Linked DNA regions of Nothobranchius furzeri. The protein of the gene in region 2 binds, or shares a complex with, the protein of the main gene of each other region. Links are inferred from orthologs where the notes say so. Each region holds a gene or a part of one and is shown on either strand. Other genes may lie near its edges. The genes, in order: sf3a2, sf3a3 and ddx46.

Region 1 (8,351 bases), about 31 Mb from region 2:
CCACCGGTTTGGGGTAGGATGCTACCAGATAAAGATATAAATCTGAGATCATCATAGTCCGCTAAACCCTACCTAGACCTGGTAGGACTAACATCCGAAATGTACCATTTTTATCCCCGTGGGGATGTAAGTTTTTTTTAATTAAGTGTATTTTACTAATAAAACTGCCAGTTTAAAAAATGCTGCTTCTAGAAAATTTAGGATGGAAAAAGGACATCCATGGCATTCCTAGAAGGCATAACTGAAACACTTTTATAGAGAGTGTTGAGAATTTTCTTAAACAAATTACTACTAGCAGTCGTGACCGATTAAACCCTGCACCAAACCTGAATCGTACATTTATCGGTTTAGTCAAGATGTCTGCTCACTCGGGCCATTTACCAATGTTCATACATTTTATATATTTTTCTACCATCGATGTATAATCTTTTCCCTGTATGGTTTGTTTAAAACGTTATTTAAATGTATTAGCTCGGTTCAAAATTTGACCTTCAGTATGATCAAAGTGATGGAGAATACCCTGAAGACAGCGATGGCTAGCTAATTTAGCAGGCTAGCTGCCGACGATCCTCAGCGAGCCGAGCGGATTTTTAACGGGCTTCCGGTGGGTAGAAAAACTGAGGTTATCGCGTGTGTTACAGCAAGTTACAGTGACTTACGTGTAAACGATATGAATTACATAACAAACCAACTAAAACAGCATCAAAATGTTATGTGATGGCACGTTTTAAGCTTTGAAGGAATCTTAAAGCATGCTTTCCGTTATCATCAAGCTAACCGCGGCTAGCTTGACGTTAACTAGCCGCGGTTAGCTGAGGAGTTGCTAATGTTAGCGTCGTCAACGAAAGAGAGCGCTCACCTGTTTTCTCTGGCGGTTTACAGATCACAGTAAATCGTTTTTACTGCAAAAATACATGACTGAATCTCCGTTTCGTTAACTTACTCTTGTTCTTTCACGAACACCACCACTCTTTGGCTTCCAGGCTAGCCTTTGGGTGTATTTTATGTCCAACAGAATCCCTGCTCACAGCCGCAAATTCCGCTTCTTCCTTCCCCCGGTCCGCTGATGCCTGTCAGCTGACCCGCCGTCTTTACGAACGACTGTTCCGTTGTGACAGGAAAAGGCGTGGCTGGTGCGATGTGTAAACCGCACCCAGGCCTTGAAATGATAAGCCACGCAGGCTAATATTCGTTAATTGTCTGGTATTTTACAATTATATAGGTCAGCCTCCTTTACAAAAAATATATCAGAACATGTCAAAATATATTGACAAAATATGAGGTACGGACGCTGTCAGAATAAAAAAAAACGTAGTCAGGTTAAACTGTGCGCATATTGTTAAATAGATGTGCCTAACTAGAAACATAATTTCATCCCCCACTTGTGATTAAATGGGGCAAATGCTGTAAACGACTCTAGAGCGCCCCCCGTTGGTTACTCGTGTAAGGCAGAAAATCTACTGCAAACATGAGCTACAAAAATCGTGATTAACGATTCTTACAAATAGATTGTATGAAACATTATACAAATTCTGCTAAATACATAAACATAAATTCAGTTTGTCACATCTCCGAGGTGAAATGCCCAAACAAAGGCTCCAAACTGGGCCAGTGGCAGCGAAGGGTAAGGCGAACACTTTTGCAATGCCATGGAGCATCTTCGAAAGTCTTCTGCCAGAGAAAGCAATGCTGATGGATATCTTCAGAGGTCTTCATTGCAGCAGACTGGAGTGTCCACAGACACAGGACAAAGAAACTCTTGAATGATATTTGGCGTGGAGCACATCAAATTTTTTTGAGAATGTTCTCTAATCCATAGTTTGTGATTACCAACAGTCCTCAAAAGGTTTCCAATTGGGGTCATGGTCACCCCTGGAAACTTGGGTCACAAAAAAATAAAACATCTGTGTGTTCAGCAGAAGTTCATAAAATTAAAACATTTTATTTTAAAAAGATTTTATGAGTACATACACTGAATACATAGTCTGAATAATTGATACCAAAATGAAAACTGCTGTTAAAATATAATTCAAACTGATTTAGGCAGTGTTGAAGATCAATTTAAATACAGAAAAATCAATTTTGTTGATTTGTTTTATTTTAACCTGATCAGAGTAAACTTCAGATAATTCTCTGTATTTTTTGTAGAACAAACACTCAGGTATTTTCAGTATTTGTGTATTTTAATTAAAAAATGGACATAAGAAATAAAAATGTGTCCAGATATTAGTTTACAAGAGGACGATAATGTTTCCATAACATTTAGCTTTAGAATTTTATTTTTAGGCAAACAAAGTTATGAAAATCTACTGAAGATATCCAACATCCTAAAAATACAAAACAGGCAGAGCAGAACAACTGACCACCAATGCAATTTCTAACAGCAAATTATCACTGCATAAGGCCCTCTGGGGGAGGTGGCCTCATTGGCATGGGGGGCATGGGCATTTGTGGGGGCATTTGGGGGGGACCTGGTGCCCCGGGTGGCAGAGGAGGAACAGACATCCCTCCTGGTGGTGGAGGTGGAAGACCGTCGTTTGATGGGTGGCCACTCATAAGTGAAGCGGGGTGCTTTAAGTTGCCAGGAGGAGCTGGACCACCAGAAATGGCTTTCTCCATTTTAAAGTGGAACTGCAGGAAAAACTGAACGAAAACAAAACATTCATACATTAGAAAATTTTTTAAATTAGTTTTTTAGTAAAAACAAAGCAGAGTCAGTACCTGTTTAGTTTCCCTGTTCCAGTGAGTCCAGAAGCGGTTTTCTGCTTTATCAATTTCCCTGCTGGGGACCTTAAAGGAGCAAACATTTTAATGTTACGGAAATGTGACACATGAGCACAATGACAAAAATTACAGTTTTCATCCACCTTAAAGGAAATAGTTTCATATGGTTCAGCAGCAAACAGCAGGTACTGCCAGCGACGGTCAGGAGGCTCGATACGCTGCTCATAAGCAGACATGAAACGGTGCCTGGGTCCAATTCCTTCAGCAACCTCTGGATAGTCGATCTGATTAATATGGGAAATAAAAACAACTTGTCAGATGTTGTAACATCTGGTTATTATTGCCCTGATAGGAACTATAGGAGTTTGTTTTGTATCTGCAACGCATCTTCAAGTGGTGTCCACAATGGGGTCATACAATGGGAGCAAAACTGTTATATTGGGCTGGAAAATAATTAAAGTGGAGCTAAACATATGATGGCATTTAACTTTGGTTTCACACGAACAATAAAGCATAAAGCCTATTATCAAGTGTCTCAGATTCCCAGAAACACAGCAGGATTTTTCCAGAATTAAAATATATTTTTTATTTTCACCTGAAAAAGTAAAGACTGCTGACCAGTCTCTGGGTCCCTCTGTTTTGTCACTGTGAAAAAAAGAGAAAGACGAGGATCAAAAGTTGTTACAAAAAGCCAAATAATGTTGATCTAATATAGAACCATGCAGCCAGTGTACCTTTGTATCCTGGTCGACCGATTTTGACAAACTTCTTGACCTCAACTTTAACCTTTGCTGGAGCTGGTTGAGCCGGCGCTTCTTTTGCCTCTTTGGCTGCTCTTCGTGCTCTAAAACACCAAATAGAAAAGATTTAACTCAGAAAGAAAAAATTATACAGGAAAATGTTTACTGACAAATATTGAACTAGTAGCAATTAATTGTGTTAGAGAATGTTTTAGGTTGACTTACAAATTGGTCTGATGCTTCTTTCCCTGTGTGTGAGCCAAGTAGCTGCCCTAAAATCAAGTAGAGGGTTTTCTTTAGAAACACAATTCCCAAATATCAAAAATTCTAACATAGCCCAATCCAATCCGTTAAGTGCCTCCTCACCTCATTGTTGTGAAGTGTCAAACAAAGTTTGCATTCATAAGAACCTAAATGATTCTTCATAAAATAGGGGTCCTTGTTGATGTCGATGGTCTCTAGAGCCAGCTGACGTAACCGTTCACGCCTGTCCCGGTTACTCTCAGAGGCAGACGCCACCCCTCCACTTCCAGTCTTCCCTCCAGCTCGATGCTGGAAATCCATTTTTTTGAAGTGATGAACTCAGTCTAAAGACAACATAAACATATAGCATCAAAGGGACAGACCAAACATAATGTATCGTGTATTTCTTCAAATAAACACAAAACAAAAAACAGAAAAAGCCAGTTCAGTTAAAACTGAACCCCTGGTGTTTTATTTTTACCATCCCTATAAAACTGAGAAACATATGCTATTTCAAATGTAGAAAACATTCACAACTATAAGTACTGTACAAAGCAGTATGCACGTAGTAACACTATCATAAATATAAATTCAACAACTTTCATATAATTGCTGATAAAATGGTAACGCTATGTGTTACAGCAGCCAGAATGAATATCTGAGCGGCACAGTTCCTTAAATGTAGTATTAATAGTGAACATTAGTCAGGACTGTATATGTATGTATGCGTGTATGTGTTAAATCTATAACTCAAATCATAAAGACTTTCTTCCCGACACCCCTTTCATCAATTTATCAATTTGTCATGATTCTAGGTTGAAACGTCTTAATTTTTAATAACATAACTAGAAAATCCCTATATTGAACTATCCTTTCGCGCACATTTTACTGTTAGCATTTAGCATCGATGGACGTCGTTCTGACAATGCTAACAGTGCTACCATATATGCAAGGATAGTTTTAAACCTACCAAAATGAACAAACTATCAGAATGAAATTAAATATAGCCTAATCAATGTTTTAGCGTTACTGCTCAGCGAACTGCACAACAAAATACTAGCTAAATATTATAAATAAACTTACGTTCTCCCAAACAAATCTAACGACAAACTGTGATGGACAGAATTGTTTTGCGCATGCGTGTTGGTTCTCAGCTTAAGCAGTTCATAAATAGTTTCAAACATTCATTGCCATCTAGTGGTCAGGAGTAAAACTGACCGACGAACAAACGTTTGCGGATAAAAGCATATAATAAAGACCTAAGAGATTAGTTTATTTAGGAGTAAAGGGCTACATTTAAAATGTGAAAAATAAATTAAAAAAACGATATGAAACATTTGCATTTTTGTTTATTTATTTAATATGTTCTCTTTAATTTTGGATCAATTGTTTGTATTATTTCTTTTGCTATGGTTTTGTTTCCCAACTTTTATTGATTTTGTTGCTTTCACTTTTAGGGTCTGGATTTAAACTAATTGTAGATTTAGACAAGGTGTTGGACCGCATCTCTCGGGGGACCCTGTGGGGGTACTTTGGGAGTATGGGGTACCAGGCCCTCTGATAGGGGCTGTAAGGTCCCTATATGACTGGTGTCAGTGCTTGGTCCGCATTGCCAGCAGTAGGCCGGGTTCGTTTCCGGTGAGAGGTTGACTCTGCCAAGGCTGCCCTTTGTCACCAATTCTATTCATAACTTTTATGGAGAATTTCGAGGCACAGCCAAAGTGTTGAAGGCATTCATTTTGGTGGCCTAAGGATGGGGTCTCTGCTTTTTGCAGATGACATGGTCCTGATGGCTTCATCAGAACGTGATCTCCGTCTCTCACTGGAGCAGTTCACAAACGAATGTGAAGCAGCTGGGATGAGCATCAGCTCCTCTAAATCCGAGACTATGGTCCTGAGTCAGAAAAGGGTAGAATGCCTTCTCTGGGTCCAGGGATGAGATCCTGCCCCAAGTGGAGGAGTTTATACATCTCAGGGTCTTGTTCACGAGTGAGGGAAAGATGGCGAGTGAGATTTACAGGTGGGATGAGATCGTGTCTGCAGTAATGCGGACGTTGTACCGATCTGTCGTAGTGAAGAGAGAGCTGAGCCAGAAGGCGAAGCTCTCGATTTACCGGCCGATCTATGTTCCTACCCTCACCTTTAGTCATGAGCTTTGGGTAGTGACCAAAAGAACGAGATTGCAGATACAAGAAGCCAAAATTAGTTTTCTCTGCAGGGTTTCTGGGCTCTCACTTAGAGATAGGGTGAGAAGTTCAGTCATCCGGAGGGGCTCGGTGTAGAGGAGCCAGTTGAGGTGGCTCAGGCATCTGATTAGGATGCCTCCTAGATGCCTCCATGGTGAGGTTTTCTGAGCATGTCCAACCTGGAGGAGACCTAAAGAAGACCCAGGACATGTTGGAGGGACTATGTCACACGAATGGCAAGGGAACGCCTTGGGATTCCCCTGGAGGAGCTGGCCCAACCTGGGGAGGGCCTCTTAGCTTAGGCTGCTGCCCCCACAAGCTGACTCCATATAAGCAGAAGAAAACAGATGGATGCTTTTGCTTTGTCAATTTTGCTAAACCCATTTTTCACTACACTTAGCTCTCATGGAGCACGAGCTTTGAATTTGATGAGCTAGTATCAGCAGTTTAAACAGGCATAAAACCAACCAGTTCAACATTTGGTGTTATTCCAGTTATTTAATTTAACAAGGAATCTTTTCAATACTCTTTTCTCCCAATCATGGATTTTTAAATCAATGTGCTTCATTTTAAGTCTTGCAATATTATTTTGCGAATCAATTTTTATACTGCAACGTTTTGTCGTGGCATAGTAGTACTTTTCAGTTAAGAAAAAGAAGAACATAACCTGAACAGAGTGATGTTTGATTTTTTTCTAAAATGTAATAATTATTTTCATTTTAAAATACTTCAGGAAATATTTTGCTATATGTGCCACGGTTTAACAAAAGAAAATAGTAAGTCCTGTAAGAAAATAAAGTAATTTATAATTCAATGTTTATAAAACAATAGGAAAAACTAGAAAAATTATTTTGTAGTTGCAGGGCACGGGACAAAAACTACCTCAAGTAATGAGTAAATGTTTATTGTTCAGTCAGAAGCACTCAAACATATATTTAATGTATTTGAGGAACATAAAGTTTTAATATTAATCAGTGAACGTTTATAAAGTTATCTATCCAGACATCATGCAACTCCTCGCTCTTACGAGCCATTTAAGCGTTAGCCCACTAGGTGGCGAAAGCGTATTTCTATTTGGTTTAACAAGCACCGTTAAACTCTCCACTAGAAGAAGAACCGATCAGCGTTTCCTGTTTGTTTAGCAGATGCCGTTCACTTGACTTTACTTCACCCTGGAAATAACCAAACACTCTCCATCACGTTTTCAGGACATCGGATAAAGAATCAGAATAAGTCGACATGATAAACAACGAAACTACTGCATTTATATTATTATTTTAACTCTATTTGAAATGTTTTGGTCGTAGAGACTAGCAAAGGTGTCCCCCCTCCCATTTTACGCGATGCGTTTCAACGAGAGGGAGCTGGTCTCTCTGAGCCGCCAGCCTTCAGAGATGGCCGCTGAAATGGGAATGCGAGGTCCGAAGAAAGGAGACGGTAAGACCTGTTACTTTCTCCGTCACTTTTCACTTCCGCTTGGTGTTATTTTGGGTCATATCGGTGAAACTGATCATCTCTCTCTCTCTCTCTCTCTCTCTCTCTCTCTCTCTCTCTCTCTCTCTCTCTCTCTCTCTCTCTCTCTCTCTCTCTCTCTCTCTCTGTGTGTGTACGTGTACGCGCGTGCGTGTGTGTTTTCAGTTGTCAAGAGGCGGCTGGTGAAACTCGTAGTTAACTTCCTTTTTTACTTCCGGACAGATGAGGAGGAGGTTAGATGAGTTTTTTTTCTCTGTCCCTGATGATGAGCTGTAACATTTTAATGAGTTCAGTGTTTATTTTTCAGCCAATTGGAGCCTTGTTGTTGGAGCAGTGCCGGGTGGAGAAAGAGGACAGTCAGACCTTCTCTATTAGTGAGCCCCAGACTCCCTTTCTGTGTTGATTTCTTACAGGCTGATTGGCGGTGACATTTTGTTAATGTTGTGTTTGTCTCTCTGTAGCATTTCTAGATGAAACTGAGAAAAAATACGTGTTTGAGTGCAACTCCGAGGAGCAATGTAAGGAGTGGATAGACTCTATTATTAAAGCAAGGTAAAACAGACTTTTTAATTTTCCTTTTTGCTGTGATCTGCTGTTTAAAGAGCAAGTCACCCCCTACCAAAGTATTACTCCACTCCCACTTCCTGTTTGGTCAAATGCAACAAATGCTGTTGCCTAGCAGACTGAGAGGGCGGGGCCACTAACAAATCCACACACACACGCACACGCACACACACACAGGCTCACAACGACATTGTGACATCATATGGTACCAGCTAACGTTTTAAGGTACCTCTTAGCCAATAGGGATGGCAGATTTAAATTCAAATGCAGTGCTGAGTTTTTACCTGACAATGGCACAACACTGACAGTTTTAGGCAGAAAATTAAAATTTTAAATAAAGTGCTAAACTATTGACTACACGTGTCTGCAGCACAATTAAACGCACATTTAGTTTATCAGAAAAAATAAGTTGATTTGGGAG
Region 2 (8,125 bases):
GGATGGGGAGCTGCTGACGTCAACTGGGGCAACAGTCGGACGGTGGAAGGAATACTTTGAGGAGTTTCTCAATCCCACTGACACGCATTCCAAGGAGGAACAGCCTTGGTTGACCTGGGAACGGACTGTCCGATCTCTAGGGCAGAAGTTACTGAGGTAGTCACACAACTACACAGCAGTGGAGCCTCGGAGGTGGATGAGATTCGTCCTGGGTATCTCACGGCTTTGGATATTGTAGGACTGTCGTGGTTGAGATGTCTCTGAAACATTGCGTGGTCATCAGGGGCAGTTCCTGTGGAGCGGCAGACCGGGGATGGACTCCGCCAGGACTGCCCTTTGTCACTAGTCCTGTTCATAACATTTATGAACAGGATTTCTAGGTGCAGCCGTGGTGTTGAGGGTGTGGAGTTTGGTGGCAGGAGAATCTCATCCCTGCTTTTTGCGGATGTGGTCCTCCTAGCTTCATCAAGCTCGGACCTACAGCTCTTGCTGGGGAGGTTCGCAGCCGAGTGTGATGCAGCTGGGATGAGGATCAGTACCTCCAAATCTGAAACCATGGTTCTCGATCGGAAAAGGTCTGGGCTAAGAAACTCAGACATCCGGGAGGGACTCTGAGTGGAGCCGCAGCTCAACTGGCTCCTCCGCATCGAAAGGAGCCAGTTGAGGTGGTTCGGGCATGTGGTCAGGATGCCTCCTTGACGCCTCCCTCGGGAGGTGTTTGGGCATGTCCTGCCGGCAGGAGGCCCCTGGGTTGACCCAGGACTACCTGGAGGAAATACATCTCTAGGTTGGCCAGAGAATGCCTGGGTGTCCCAGCTGAAGAGCTGGCGGACGTGGCCAGAGAGAGGACTGCCTGGGGGGCCCTACTTGGGATGCTGCCCCAGCAACCCTGACCCCGGATAAGCGGAGGAAGGTGAGGTGTGAGGTGAGGCTCACTCCTGTGAATCTAGGAGGGGCTTGGAGTAGAGCTGTAACTGCTCCAGTCATCAGCCATGTGTGTGTGTGTTTCCTATGCGAATTTAGTGGATTGTTTCAGGCATAATTCCTAAAACCAAACACTGAAAGAAACAAATGGACAGGTCAGGAGTGCTTAGAGAGACCCACATGGCAGCACCACCTTGAAATCTAGCTCAGGGGAATTGTGACACCCACTCTTATCCATTAAACATGGATGAATGGCAAACCTCGTCGAACTTACTCTGAGCCTCCTCGCTGAGATTTTCTTTGGCCTTCATCAACTCTTCAAATTCTGCAGACATGGGGATGGAAATCTACAGAAAATATGAGACAAACAGCAGTGAGACTGCTTCAGGTACACTATACAATCTAATCTGACTGCTCACGATGTCTCTTACTTCATTTGGGTGCTTTCGGTGGAACTCCTTTATCTGCTTTAGTCTGTTGTAGAACTCTGCAAACTCATTTGGTCCAGAGATGGCACCAAGCTCGTCCTTTCTCATGCTGGATGGGAGCAATTTCCATTTTTTATTCAGGTGTTTTCAACACTTAAACACAAGTAAACATAAAACACCAATCCAACGCCTCGCCTTTATCAGATCTGATATGGAAAAAAGAAGGAAATGTTGTATGGAAGAAATACAATCTCATCAGAATGACTTTTTTTAGACATAGAATTTATGAAAAAGAATTTTTATTATGTGTTATTTGAATTTTTTAAAATTTAAAATACATCAGCAAAGATTTCATCCATAAAAATTCAACAACTGAGGTGACCTCTTGGTAAACCAAGCCAAAGCGACCATCGATTAATAGATTCAAGAGGCTTTTAGCCAAGCATATTAGACTTCTCTGATCATGTGACACCAGTTAGATGTCGACTCAATGGAGTGATGTTTACTTTGGCTTGGTTACGTCAGTTGATGTTGAATTTTTGCTGTTGAAATCCTGTTGTTGAATTTTTGAAGATGAAATTCTGCAATTGATGTTTAACAGATTAAAATTTTGCTGGTGTAATTTAAGTAAACAAGTAAATAAATTCAAGTACACGATTTCACAGAATTAAAATTCTAATTAAATGAACGTCTAAAAAATTCAAATTCTGGCAAGGCAGTGTTTCTTCCATAAAGCAGTAGCGAGTGCTCTTTGTATACGCAAAACGATGGTTCGCTGGGCTTTATGCACTCGCCATAATAAAATCATAAATTAATATCACAGACTGACATATTCTCAATGTAACTTATGAATGAGTTTTAATGTTTCCCTTACATCAGAAATATCTCAGCATCATAAGGAAGTCGTTTAGATGGTATCATTAAATGATAGCATTTAAATGCCATCTTCCTCTTTGCCTCCATCTGACCACTTCTTTTGAATGTTTTTTTTCTTTTTATATTCACCACAGATCTCTCATCACTCTGACAGAATCCGCCGCCATACCAAACGCTGTACCACTCAAAGACAATAAAAAGATTTTCCATGCCCTACCTCACCCACAAGCACCTCGATTTCAAGCTCAGTGAAACAGGCGTTTTTCGCTGTTGCCATGGTTTCCACATGAAAATCCACAGGTTGGCTGGCTTATGTATATCCAGAATATTGATGAAGTGATTTGCACTGACCATAATGGTAGCAGTGGGTGTGCGGGAGGCGGGATGTGATCCAAAATCACCTGAACACATTTCTAGGTAGAGTTAGATAAAGCAGGAATTGTGTACAGCTATATGTACGCAGTGTTTTATGGGTCCAATTTTTTATTTCTGCAAGTAAATTTTTTTAGTAAAGGATCCAAACAAAGTTTTATAAATAGAGCCATTGGACTTTAATATTTAATATATTTAATAAAAGAAGTAGCAACAAAAGCCGTGGAATGGGATACCAACGCTTCTGATAGGCCAGAATAAAAATGTAATTATATATTTAGATTTTTTTTACTGTCAGGAAAACAAACCTGAGTAAACAATGGGTAACAGAAAGAGACAACAGCTTAACTCTAACAAGCAAAAAAAAAAAGTACATTGAATATATTTAAAAAAATTAAAACGTACCCATCTTTGTCTTCATAAGAGTCCCTGAGATTTGCACTCACTTCCATATACCTCTGTGAGGAGACACAGAACATGACAACAGATGACATTAAACTAGCCAACACTGACTCACTGTTAGATCATCATGGTAATAGACTTGGCTCTAAATTACCATGGTAACACATAGCTTGACAACACCTAGCTCTAGAATACTATTTAAAGTGAGGGTCAATGCCTGGTTGGAGACGCATTTCATCCACATTTCCTGTTAGAAAAACGCTTCTGAAAGAGGCGTCACCTGGCGAACCGGGAGAGCGGCACTGAGGCAGTGGTAGACCGCACCCCCCTCAACCCCTCCGCGTGTGCTGTCGGAGTTTCTCAATCTAAAAACGAGTTGTTAACTAGCGCAGGCACACTCGCGCGTGCATGCAAGCATGCACTCACACAAGACTTACCGCTCAGGAAAAAAAAAGCAGACACAGATTCTGCAGCATTCTGGAGGATTTCCTTTTAACCACGATCATTAGATGAAAAGGGGAGGAGGGCATTACGCACATAGGGGTTGGGGCGCTCCGAGCACCCCAACCCCTATGTGCATAATGCCCTCCGGATCTAAGACTTTGGGTTAAGCTGTGTGTGAGATCAGTTGACAAATTCTGCTTCTTAGAATCTCCAGGTAGAAATATCAGACTGATTCAGATGTCATCATAGTTCTGTTAGATCTGAGAAGATCTAAATAAACATCAGATTGTTAAATAAAGCACATTACCTTTAGAAGCAACCAGCACACTGCACTGAGCTGATCAAGTATTTTATTCAACCACGACATACGCTTTCATTCAGGATCATGTTTAAATGTGATTCTTAAAATTATTTAAAACATTTTAAAAATCAACCTATGGAGGTCTGATCCCACCAAAATTGACAATAACTGGTTATAAAATTGAAAGTACATATAGAAATACATGATGCAATTATTAGGTGGGCTATTAGTATGAGTGTCTGCCCTGGGACTGGGATATCGGGATTCAAATCCACGGTCGAGTCACACCTAAGATTCGAAAAACAGGAACCAATGCCTCCTTGCTTGGCACTAAGCTTTAAAGGGTTGGATCGGGGGTTAAACCACCAAATAGCTCCCGAGTGCTGCCGTGTCTCCAACAACCTTTGGAGGACTGCCGGGGGTGGGTCAAATGCAGAGAACAATGTCACACATCAGTGTGACAACTAGTGGGACTTTAACTTTAATTCACCTCATCACCATATACCACAGGAAGTGTGAGGAATATAAATGAAGAAATGTATTAAAAAAATAGATGTGGAAATTAATAATTGTATTCATTTAACTCCAAGTGTGTTATCTTCAATTGTATTTCCTCATTTATTGAATTACTTTTTTTTTTTGCCCTTTCTTAATTTAATGTAAGCGTTGGCAGGATCAATCCTCCCTCTGTACCACCTGTTGGGTTTTGTGTATGAAGTCTGGATGTGTCAGTAAAGCCCTCTGGTTTCACTGCATTTTAATGAGGAGAACTTCAGATTAAAAGAGCAGCAGTGATCAACCTGAGGTTTTGATTTACTTCTCTAAACGTTTGGATACTATTAGTGAAAATTCAGTGAAAGTCCCCTGCGATGGGCTGGCACTCTGTCCAGGGTGTACCCCGCCTGATTGCCCATTGACCGCTGGAGATGGGCACCAGTCCCCCCCCCCCCGCGACCCTACGTGGCCAAGCGGGTTCAGACGATGGATGGATGGATGGTGAAAATTCACCAAAGTTACACTAAAAGTGAATGACGACCAAGGCAGGAACCAAGCATTACAGGTAACTCAATAAAAATAAAAGCAACTTTACCCAACAACAAATAAGCTTTATTTTCTGATATAACTTCTATATTACATTTAACAAATCAGAACAACATCGATTGCAATGATTCATAAAATTCAGATCTTAAGCACAATGATTGTTATTGACTCTATTACTTAACACGACGGAAAAAACTACACCACCAAACAACATTTAGCTCACTGGTGGAAGAGCAGCATTTCATACTTACATCCAACATGGCTCTTATTCGATGATCACAATTAATTTGATCCCGCAGCTGAAACAAGAGTCGAAAACAAATACGTGAACATTGCGTTGGTGTTAGCAACATGCTAATGCTAAAAGCTGCGCTGCTTACCGTGGTCTTTTTGTGCAACATTTCTTTAGTTTTTGCGTCCATCAGCCTCTCTTTCTCTTCGTGGTAGCGACGCTGTTGTTCCAAAATCGACTCCATCGTTTACAAAATGCTCAAGAGTTTAATGAAGACTGTTCAGGGTTGCTGCTGAAGCGTTAGCACAGCGCAGTATGGTACGTTGACCAAAGGCGTCTGTTCAGGAGTTACTGTCCGCTTCAGTACGGCTAGGAAAACATTTCCCAATTATTAGTTCCGCTGTGGTCACACAAACGTCCATAACGGTGACAGTACGGGATTCCTACAAGTGGACAAATTAGCATATATTTTATTTTTATATTATTAGAATTTTATGAAAGTTTTAAAATTATTATTTGCTGTCCATCCAGACCGATCCAGACGTGAGAGTTTGTGAATAATTCGACTGCGGACGGTTTTATGGATCAAAATAGAAATTTTCGTTCACGTGAGCTGTTTGAGGTTATTTTATTGTGAGCTATTTCTAATCACATCTCATCAAAGCCTGCAAAATCAGGACACACACACTATCCCAGCGCACACGCGGTGGAGCGCACTTACCACAGACCGGAAGTGTTGGCGCTTATAACTTGTTTCTTAGGTGCAAATGATAAATCATTCTCAAATGTAATACAACAATTTACGATGCATTCCACTGTCAGAGCTGTGTATAGTAATGTGACAGGATGTGATAAAACTAAAGTAGAAATGATATCCAACATTTTTATGATTCTCAGAGGTCTGATCCCATGTCATATATATATATATATATATATATATATATATATATATATATATATATATATATATATATATATATATATATATATATATATATTCCTTTTTATCTTTATAATTACCGCCAGAGCTTTTATTTTGGCAGTCAACACCGGAAACTCCACAGTAACAGTCGCTGCCTTGACAGTGGCGTTCTGGCTTCGGTACGTTCTCCAGCAGCAGCAAGTCAAAGCACCGGGCAGCCAGTGTTTGGGTTTTGTGGACTACAGGGACTTTGGGAACCGTTTTCTCCGCCGCGGTGCGTCCAGCCTGTTCAGGAAGGTGAGCAGCCAGTTTTCCACGGTGACAACACTCGCTTGCTGTAATGGATTTGAGGCGCTGAGGCGTTATCTGCGGAAGGGGGGGGGCGGTCGTTGTCGTTGTGGAGACGAGGTGTGGGGGGGTGGGGGGTATCCATTCTGTCTTTGTGCTACTGGGGCAGACCTGGCAGAGGTCAGTGGCAGACCCGCTACCAGAGGGCTGCTCCTGGTTAGCTGCAGCATCTTCCGACATCTACATGCTTGATGCTAACTCTTCATTTATCCAACAAAACAGGCGGAGCGGACCGGGTCGGAACGAGCCCGTGGGCTCCCCCGAACTCTCCGAACATTTAAACCCACTTCTCCGAGGTGTTGAGGGTTTTTAAAAACATCAGAAAGTTTCCTCAGCCCGGAGTAGCTCACCACGCTACAATAGAGTTCTTTCACAAACCAGGAGCAGCAGACTGATGAAACATCACAGATTAGAACCGGAGATCCACATCAATGATTCCGAAACCTATTTTAACTTCTAACCAATAAACAACATGCTGACACCTGGATCAGACCATCAGTGGTTAAAGTCTGAACACATATTTGAAAGGACAATTAAGCAGCAGCAGCACACAGGCCAGCTGTTGTGTTTGGGTCTGTGAGGTGTGCTTCTGTCAGTCACATTTAAATGTAAGCTAGAGTCTGAAGTTCATCTCTGTCTCAAAGGCAGCTGCACTTATTTATTTATTCACTTCATGCAAACCACTAATCCAGAGCTGTGGCTCCCAAAGTTTGGGTTAGGACCTCTCTGTGCGACAAACACTTGGGTGTACTTGATTAAACATTACTCTAGTTTTTTCTATAATCATTACAAGAGCTAAAAACAGTTAGCAGAGAAATCTTGACAGGTGTTAGCCGAAGCTAAAATGATTTTGCTCTGCATGTCAATCCATTTCCCTCTGGGATTAATAAAGTATTTTTGAATTGAATTGAATGTAGGTCCAGCCACGCTCCACTGGAACCTCAGCAGGTTTTCCACTGGCCTGATCAGTGTTGTTTAATGCCAATTACAGCACTCTGTTGGTTTGGTGGCAGGATGTTGCGATGGAGTGGAACAACTAAGATGGCGACGACTTGTTTGGCATCAAGTTTTCCGCTGTTCCTGTCTGCCATTCCCCCACAGCAGACCACAGCATCAAAGGTAGCAGACACTACCACAGTGTCATAGAAGGTCCTTAAAGGAGTCCTGTACACCCCAAAAGATCTAAGCCACCCTAGCAAGACAACTTAGATTCTTTTTGTAGAGCGCATTTGGAGCTGAAAAGGCCAACATCCATTCATCCACTAATCCATCCATCCACCCACCCATCCTCCATTCACTCACTCATCCATCCATACATCCAACCATCCATCAATCCACCCATCCATTCAACCATCCATTTACTAATCCATCCTTCCATCCATCCTCCATTCACTCACTCATCCATCCATCCTCCATTCACTCACTCATCCATCCATCCATCCATTCACTCATCCATCATTCCACCCATCCATTCACTCATCCATCAATCCACCCATCCATTCAACCATCATCCACTCACTCATCCATCAATCCACCCATTCATTCAACCATCCTTCCATCCACTCATCCATCCACCCATCCATCCACTCATCCATCCACTCACTCACTCACTCACTCACTCACTCACTCACTCACTCACTCACTCACTCACTCACTCACTCATCCATCCTCCCATTCATCCATTCGTCCACTCACTCACTCACTCACTCACTCACTCACTCACTCACTCACTCACTCACTCACTCACTCACTCACTCACTCACTCACTCACTCACTCACTCACCCATCCATCCTCCCATTCGTCCACTGGCTCACTTGCCCGTCCATCCATATAT
Region 3 (8,373 bases), on a different chromosome or scaffold from region 2:
ATAAAAGTCAGAAAACAGCCTCAAGATACAAAACAAGAGACGGAGCCCCTTCACCTACAAGGGAAACATATTACAGATTACCTCGCATGTGTGGAAACAACAGAACCCCTGATTAGCAGTCAAATATAATAAAATCACATTTTAATTACATTTAAGAAACAGACTACAGACCCTAACTGATCTAAATTGTTCTTCAGTCTGATTAATCCCAGCGTTGAGACACAAGAACTGTGGAGGCAGCGCCAGGTCCACCTACCTGGACTCGCTCTGATCTTCAGAAAACATCATTGTCTTGTAGAACCAAAAATTGCCAAATAATGTCGACAGTTTAGTAACAAGGTACCGATTTGAATCATATACTGTCACTTTTAAACCATGCAGTTATTACAAAAAAGCTGCAAATAAATCTGAAAACCCTAATATGAAGTCTGAATACGGAGGTGGATTAACTCACCGCTGTTCGCTCCCAACATGTCGATCATTCTCCCCGGTGTGCAGACGATGATCTCTGCTCCCCTTTTCAGCTCAGCAATCTGCAATCCACCAGCATGAGAAGAAGGTATCAGTGAAAGGGCTCAAAAGACAACAACATGTTGGAAAAAGCATCACACGGCTGCATTATGAGGGTTTTTACCTGTTCACTGATTCCCGTGCCTCCGTAAACACACACTACTCTGAGTCCCAGTGATTTGGAGAACTTCTTGCACTCCTTGGTGATCTGCAGCGCCAACTCTCTGGTCGGAGTCATGATTACAGCTGTGGAGATGCAGAAACATGCCATCAAACAGTTTAAAGCACCAAAATCATAACACATTTGTCATTCATTCTTTTGAGTCCTGACAAAGACGTATACAGGACGTATAAAATTATCCTTACAGATGGGTCCCTCTGCCTCCTCCAGCGGTCTCTGATCCATGATGTGTCGGAACATGGGCAACAGGAAAGCAATGGTTTTGCCACTTCCAGTCTTAGCGATGCCAATGAGGTCTCGGCCTGACATGATGGCAGGGATGGCCTGAGCCTGGATGGGTGTGGGCTTCTCGTAGCTGTGCCTGGGGGAACAACAGAAAACATCCTGTGATGTTTACATCAGTTAAAACACTGCATCCTAAAATATTACTGATTAACCCCCAGAGACCCACGGTTGTAATATTACAACATCAGATTTAAGTCTACAAAAATAAACCTTCCCCATTTTTTTTTCTTTTTAAAACCACATTTACATTGCTAATAGGTCCTATTGTTCAGTTCTGCAACACTATTGGCCGTTAAAATGTGTAAATAGGCCCGTTTATTTGGCCTCCTAGAACAACATGTGAAAGGTTAAAAAAAGATTTTGCAGTTGTTTTCTAAATTTGGGTTTCTGGGGGTTAAAGCTGTCATCCACAAATTTTTTTCAATACATTTGCAGCGGTCTCTAGTATAAATAAATGCCTGGGTGAAAAACGGCAGGATTTGCAGTCTAGCTCATTCGCGGTTTTTGGACATCTCACCTCTGATTGGCTTACAGCAACGTGACTCTGGCACTGAACCTGTTTGATTTGCAATGTTGATGTTTTATCTGCACAAATAACTCAAGCCTGAAGGAATTCTGCCATGTTGTGGCGTTGCTAATGCTAACAGTTAGCTTCTACTAGCTGAGTCACGCTCTGCTCTCTGCTGGTGTCAAAAACCAACAACAACCATCCCCGTTGCGTGGGAAGATGGTTGAGTCCAAGATTGCTAGTTTATAGTTTTACGAAGATCTGTGTGGCTTTTTTTAATCCATGCATTTCCTCATCTGTTTCCATTCTCCGGCTAAGGCTTGGTTTATGCGTGACGCATTCACTTTCCGCTTGGTGATGCGGCTCGCGGATGGAACGCGCTTCACAACTCGCAGTGTTTATGGTTCATGCGGCTCGTTTCTGCGGTGAGCCAATATTCTCCCAAACTGTAGGGGGCAGCATGGAGCTCTAGGCATGCATCCAACACTACACCATAGTAGAAGTAGAAATTACTGTTTACAACATGGCATTCCAGCATTTTTAACAGCGTCCTCGTCTTATCCGACAGTGCGAGCTATTTCTCTCCAAGAATTATTAACAACATGTTGATCACGGTGATCTTTGAGAGCTGAATCATACAAATGTCTGTATTTACGAACCTCTGCCATACTAGTTCTTGCCAGTCTGCCATGTTTTTCCGCGCCCGACCGTCTGCGTGGTTAGAAAATTTCCTCGGTGTGCGGTGCGGAAAGTTTAGGCCGTGCGGAGGCGCGGTGGAGGGGCGTGGTTGTTAAAATGACGCAATTTTGCCGCGTGGGAGCCGTCCGGACCTCGCGGACGCGTCAAGCATACACCAAGCTTCACGCAGGAAATAGGGATAGAAGACTATTTTCATGATGAACCTGCATATGAAACTCAGGGTGACTGATCGTATTTCAAAAATAAGTAAAACAAAACATTTTCTCAGAGAACCTGTTCTTTAAAACTAACAAAAGGTGAATGTTTGTGAACTCACTTCCTCATGGCGCTCAGAATCTTCATGGACACCCCACACTGCACCCAGGTCTTGATGGGTTTTGGACAACCCTTCCCTTTGACAGTAATTCCTTCCAGTTCCAACCTGTATGCGTTCACTTCTGTATAAAGTAAAACAAGCAAACGGAGAAAAGCCAGATTGTTTAGGTACAAACATGCATTAATAAAAAAAATACTGATTCTAAATTTTATGTGCAGTTCTGTGATAAAATCTGATTACCCGACCTTCTGGTGTAATTTTAGCCAGTTCAGGCACCTCCACATAGAAGTTTTTGCGGTACGGCTCATACTGGATCTTCCCGTGGTCAACGGGCTCCAGCACCTTTCTCTGTTTTGTCTGGAAGCCTGACAAAGCCGTATGAAGGTCCACTTCCTCTTCCTCTGAGGAGTACTGTTGATCACACATCAGCCATAATTTAGGTAAGTCAGCAGCGGAAAGCAAAGAAAGAAGTCGATGCCTTACAAACGCACCTCCATGGCATCCTGGTCATTTTCCATCAACTCCCCCTTCTTTTTGTGTGTGTGCGGTCCTTTTTTGGTTTTCACAACCGTCACCACTTTGGTTACCATCATGGCTCCTTTCTGCAGGTTAAAAATGATGCATATCAGCAAGAATCAGTGGACAAAACACAAAGAGGATAAAATGAAATCAAAAGGGGAGAAACTCTGACAACGAATACAGTCTGGTACGGGTTTTAGACACAAAGCAGTCAACATAGCAATTCCAACCATCTACTCTAAATAAACAAAGTGATGACATCACCTTGTCGTTTCCTTTCATGGCTCCTATGTTGAACTTCTTTACTTCCTGTTTGACCTCCTCCATGTAGGCATCCAGGGGATCCACTTCGTCTTCTTCAGCCTGCTGCTCCACAGGCTCATCTGTCTCCTTCTCACCCTCCTCTTTTTTTACCTCCATTGCATCCTTCTCTTTACCCTCTGCCTTTGCATCCCCTTCTTCATCATCGTCATCATCTACCTCCATCAAAGCTGAACCATCATCATCATCATCTGAAATGAAGAGTTAGAGCATTTGCGTTTTAACAGATCAGGTAAAAGTTCATAACTGCATTTATTTTTGAAAGTTGCTTACAACTTATAGAACTTATTTCCTATAATAAATTTAGCAGATTTTTTAAACATGGCATCATTTTCCTATGCGAAACATCCCAGGTTGCTTCCTCACCATCATCATCCTCAAGACTCCACTTCTTGCCCTGCTTCATTTCTTCCAGTTCTTTCTTGATCTCTCCAATGTTTTCAATAGCCTTCTTCCTCTGCTCTTCCCTCCACTTCTCCACTCGCTCCTTCCTCTTCCTCATTTCCTCCTCCAGCTTGTTCTGGTCAAAGTCTTGCTGTTGAGACACAAACATCATCAGCCCACCGTTTCAGCGCAAAGACATTTCAAAGCTCCTGACATCAGGAAAAAACAAATCAGTAGAACTTACATCTTCAACTTTTTCATCTTCTTTCTCCTCTTTGATCTTTTTCTTGTCGGACACAGGGTCAAGGTTGTCTTTCTCTTTGCTTTTTGACCTTTAAAATAAGAAAATCAGCTTCAACAGCTTGAAAATGAAAGTTTTTCTCTAAATTTTTGGAAAATCAACAAGAATTTGGACACGTTTCCATAAACAATATAAAGAACAGTTAAGATGGGATAATTTACACAATGTACATTTGTGTTAGCTGTTCATGACTTTAATAGTTTTTATTTGCACATGTCATCTCAAACAGACTTGTTTACTTAATGACCAAGTGTTTGTATTTATTTGTATAAAAACTCACTTCTCATCAATTTTCTTGCTCTTCGCTGGGCTACCAGACCGGGACCTGCGGGTTCGGCTTCGGGACCTCTTTCTGTCACGGCTTCTGGTCCTCCTCCTGTCTCTGCTCCTGGAACGCCTGAACACCAAAGAATCAAATGTGCAAACAATTAAAACAGAAAAATGGCAAAACCCTAACCACGTGATGACTTCATGAACATAGTCATTGATTTATTTTCTTTAAAGTGATTTAAATTCATTTTATCAGTAGGCTTAAATAGAACAAATATATCATATCAAACTCATTAGAAGCACAAAGATCTCCTGACTTTGTTAGCCTATAAGTAAAGTAAGTGGTATTTTTATGTTCACATAAACAGTTATTTAGAAATGTGTTTTTATTTGTGTCTCAGCCTTATTTTTCTATCTTAGCTGACATCATACAGCTAACCAGCACACACCTGGCTCTTTTTCTGTCTCTGGATCGTGATCTTCGGCGGTCTCGGCTACGTGATCTGTCTCTCCTGTTTCGGTCTCGGTCGTCTTTCTTGGAGCGTTTCTCCGGGGACCGACTCTTCGATCGGGTTCCCGACCGTCCACGAGACGCCGAACGTTTCCTGTAATGTCTGTAGATCAATAAAATTAAACAAATGCTGTTTTTCAAGTGAAAATTACACCACATCTGCACGAAAACATCCAAAAAGATCCGCTTTAGCTGGTATGCTAATGCTAGCCATTCAAAAACAAAACAGTCAGTAAGAGATTTGAGTCGAAATTAAACCGAAAACTTGGACATACCTCGATTCTCGTCCCATTTCGAGTCTGCAAGATTTGGTTTGGTAAAAAGTCCGATTATTTAAGAGATAGACACAAGCACGGAGAGACAAACTTGTTGGGTTTGTGTCATTGAACCTGCGTGTGTAAAATCTGCGAGTCAGATATGAACCTATTAAAAGAAGAGCGCCCCCACGCGGTAGGAGGTCAGAGAATTATCTAAAAAAACTGGATCAAAAGCTTAGAATTTGGTTTTGAATTCCATGGAGCTACAGTAAAACTAGTAATTATTAATAATAACAATAATGTCACACGAAGTGTTTTATTTGGTATTACAGTTTACATCACACCAAAAATACTTAAAATATAAGAGCCAGTAAAAACTGTTTCACGAAATTTATCAAAACTTATCAAATAAATTACACAAGTAGTGGGATAAAACATAGTTATGTTTTACACTAAAACTGTTTCAATAAAATTAAAAGACAAAGCAAATACATGACTGCAAAGAGGCAAAACTGTACCAAAGATTTTATGAAAGAGGCTTAAACAGGGAAAAGCAGGACACGTCACCAGGATTACGCAACACAAATAAGCCCACAAACATCAGCCGCCTCACACTATACCTTACAAATACGAACCAGTAATATTCTCATCATGTATGAAGTTCACTGCGATTTTTAAGCTACTTCAAATACAATTTCACACAAACCTGGACTAAATGCTTTTTTTTTAATTTAAACAATGAAACTTGTTAATAGCAAAGATGGACCCTTTCTGAATGCTGAACAGAGTGAAGCAGAAAAGTGGAGTCAAAGCCCTTTACAGACACAAATGACTTACATGACTCAAGTTAAACAGAGTTCATATCAACGCAACAATCCACAGTTTTCAAATCCATGTTCAAGGCTTCCAAGTTCCTTCGTCACTATGACTTTTAACGGATAAGAAAAATGACAAAAATAAAAAATTTTGTAAGTTTACATGATACATGACAGCAAAACATGTTTCCATATCTCCTTTAAGGTCAAATGAGATTTTAGATGTACTTTTGCTGCTCAGATGAGATGTTATATCAACTTTTTGAGATTGATCAACGTAATCACAGAACTAAAAGAAACAACTTAAAATATTACTCTGAAATCTAGTTAAACAAGATTTATTCATCTGCATCTCTCCATAAAGTATGTGATGTCATCACATTATTGTTCAAAAAGGGTGCCAAGCCTTGTTTTAAATGGATATCAGCAGAGAAAAAAAATGCATTTTTGTTAAATTTTCACCAAATTTGATTATCCAGAGTGAAACAACTCAGATCTTCAAGCACATTATCTTATTACAGAGCTTAAAACACTGATAGAGTCAAAAGTACTCAGTAAGAGAAGAGCTGAAACTACAAACACCCATCCAGGTGGTGTGCAGCCTTCTTCATAAGGCAGCAGATTAGTAAATGACAGGAAACAAGCACCAGAGGGAGCTGAAGAGCATGCCTTGTTGGGGTAGGGAGAGAGGGGCAAGTGAGGGGTCTACTATCAGGGAGCCTCTGAGGCAATGAGCAACACGATTTCATGAGAGATGATGAATGTGAAGAAGTAGACGCAGAGGTCAGAGAAGACGTCCCCCATCCTCCTGTAGGTGTCCATGGAGCGACTGATGACCTCAGCGGGGATGCCAGACAGTAGCAGGGCAGCAGTTAGCACAGTGGTTTGGGTTTTCTTCTCTACCTGCACAAAAAAAGAAGACACACACACAAAAAAAAAAAAAAATCACTGTAAAAATCATAACTTGGTGGTTCAACAAACTCATTTCTATCCAAATTTTCAAAATACCTTTAACTTTTATTTAATTTACAGTAAACCTACAATAATGAACATTACATACTTAAAAAAATACAAGATCCTAAACAGTCTCACCTTTGGAAAGTATTTGGACAATCCCATGTAGGCCAGTTCAAGGGTCAGAAATGGAGCAAATATTGACTAAAATGACAAAAAACACAAACCAGAGCAGGAGAATAACATTTTACTATATTAGGAAAAAGTGTAAAATTTTACACATTTTTAATCATCGTGTGATATAAATTGAATAACAATGCACAGAAATTGGTTTAAAGGTAGACCCACCAGATACTTGCAGACAAACACCCTGACAAACACAGCGAGGAGGACGCTGCCAATAAGTCTAAAGATTCTGAACGGATCCAGCTCCTCCGAGTCAGAACCTCCATCTTGAGCCTGCTTATCGTTGGCCAGCTGACTCCGGAGTTTCATAGCATCGTCAAAGCGTGATAAATACTGTTGGAGGCTCCGACGTGGGGAGCCACTGAGATCATCTCCTCGCTCCAGCTTTGCTCGCTGCCTGAGACCTCCCATTTCGTCTTCCAGAGATGCTCCGGGCAACTCGCTGCTGTCTGGCAGGGGTGAGCCTCGTCTCTCTGGGGTGGAAGAGTGGGAGCGGCTGCCATGAATCGAAGCCTCTGGCAGGAAGGGAGGCGGTCTCGGGGAAGGGGAGGACGAAGACCACGGCTGTGTCCTGTCCAGATCAAGGTGAAAGCGGGGTTCTGTGGGTCGTCGGGAGGATCCTGCAGAGAAGATCAGCGTTTATGAACTAGAAATGAATCAAGCACACAGATAAATGGATACAAATAATGTTATTGTTGTTTACAGATTTGGTTCTAACTTAATTCTCACAAATCCCTCTGAGTGGGATCAGACTTTCTAAACAGGTCCTGTGTCACTTCCATGATGAAACATTTGTTGGCATCACATTCAGAGTGATGTCAGAGCTCATAAAACATCAAGAACAGCCCAAGAAAATGCTTCCTGGCAGTTTGCATTTAGACGTTGTGTCTGATTAAAGATGACAGGAAGGCACAGCATCAACATCTGTGCTGCTGACGCCTATGCTGTTACTGTTGCAACACTTACAAATCAATTGGTGATGTCTGGACACATGTCACTAATAAACGTTATGGACTCAACATACGCACAAAATCTAATTTAAGAAACTGACTTATAAGAAGAATGTATGACCAGGGTCAAACATTTACCACTAAAAAGGCAAAAGATGCAACACCTGATCATTTATAAATCATTGCTGAGGTGTTAATTCAGCCCAATCAATCATATAATGATCAGTTATTTACAGTGCTTTGAAAAATGATTCCCTTACAGATTTAGTATGTTTATACATTTATTTTTCTTCAAAAATTTCAATTTCAGTTTTGGAGCAAAGATATCCTGAATAAATACAAAATAGTTAAATAGTAATGATTACGGTTTCATCTTAAGTGAAAAGGGATACGCATACGCAAACCT

Evidence for each region.
Region 1: sf3a3 (region 2) and sf3a2 share a complex: the UniProt entries of both Homo sapiens proteins name them as parts of the SF3A subcomplex of the 17S U2 SnRNP complex. The link is inferred for Nothobranchius furzeri from reciprocal best matches to the Homo sapiens genes SF3A3 and SF3A2.
Region 3: sf3a3 (region 2) and ddx46 share a complex: the UniProt entries of both Homo sapiens proteins name them as parts of the 17S U2 SnRNP complex. The link is inferred for Nothobranchius furzeri from reciprocal best matches to the Homo sapiens genes SF3A3 and DDX46.

What each region holds. Positions count from the first base shown.
Region 1 is NC_091751.1:56,889,579-56,897,929, reverse strand, and holds sf3a2 (splicing factor 3A subunit 2), read right to left. Parts: upstream 4,880-8,351; 5' UTR 4,791-4,879; intron 4,052-4,790; 5' UTR 4,029-4,051; coding exon 3,831-4,028; intron 3,737-3,830; coding exon 3,690-3,736; intron 3,569-3,689; coding exon 3,459-3,568; intron 3,370-3,458; coding exon 3,320-3,369; intron 3,009-3,319; coding exon 2,868-3,008; intron 2,791-2,867; coding exon 2,722-2,790; intron 2,644-2,721; coding exon 2,392-2,643; 3' UTR 2,165-2,391; downstream 1-2,164. Other genes in the region: plekhj1 (pleckstrin homology domain-containing family J member 1), read left to right, coding at 7,237-7,330, 7,532-7,599, 7,674-7,740, 7,828-7,918. UniProt on the Homo sapiens protein: Component of the 17S U2 SnRNP complex of the spliceosome, a large ribonucleoprotein complex that removes introns from transcribed pre-mRNAs.
Region 2 is NC_091751.1:25,495,529-25,503,653, reverse strand, and holds the start of sf3a3 (splicing factor 3A subunit 3), read right to left. Parts: upstream 5,391-8,125; 5' UTR 5,265-5,390; coding exon 5,169-5,264; intron 5,088-5,168; coding exon 5,040-5,087; intron 3,059-5,039; coding exon 3,006-3,058; intron 1,462-3,005; coding exon 1,356-1,461; intron 1,272-1,355; coding exon 1,199-1,271; intron 1-1,198. UniProt on the Homo sapiens protein: Component of the 17S U2 SnRNP complex of the spliceosome, a large ribonucleoprotein complex that removes introns from transcribed pre-mRNAs.
Region 3 is NC_091750.1:60,371,178-60,379,550, reverse strand, and holds the start of ddx46 (probable ATP-dependent RNA helicase DDX46), read right to left. Parts: upstream 5,238-8,373; 5' UTR 5,098-5,237; coding exon 5,081-5,097; intron 4,909-5,080; coding exon 4,744-4,908; intron 4,422-4,743; coding exon 4,305-4,421; intron 4,056-4,304; coding exon 3,968-4,055; intron 3,875-3,967; coding exon 3,706-3,874; intron 3,531-3,705; coding exon 3,283-3,530; intron 3,102-3,282; coding exon 2,991-3,101; intron 2,911-2,990; coding exon 2,745-2,910; intron 2,621-2,744; coding exon 2,500-2,620; intron 1,053-2,499; coding exon 877-1,052; intron 757-876; coding exon 635-756; intron 534-634; coding exon 455-533; intron 1-454. Other genes in the region: guided entry of tail-anchored proteins factor CAMLG, read right to left, coding at 6,589-6,780, 6,970-7,035, 7,180-7,637. UniProt on the Homo sapiens protein: Component of the 17S U2 SnRNP complex of the spliceosome, a large ribonucleoprotein complex that removes introns from transcribed pre-mRNAs.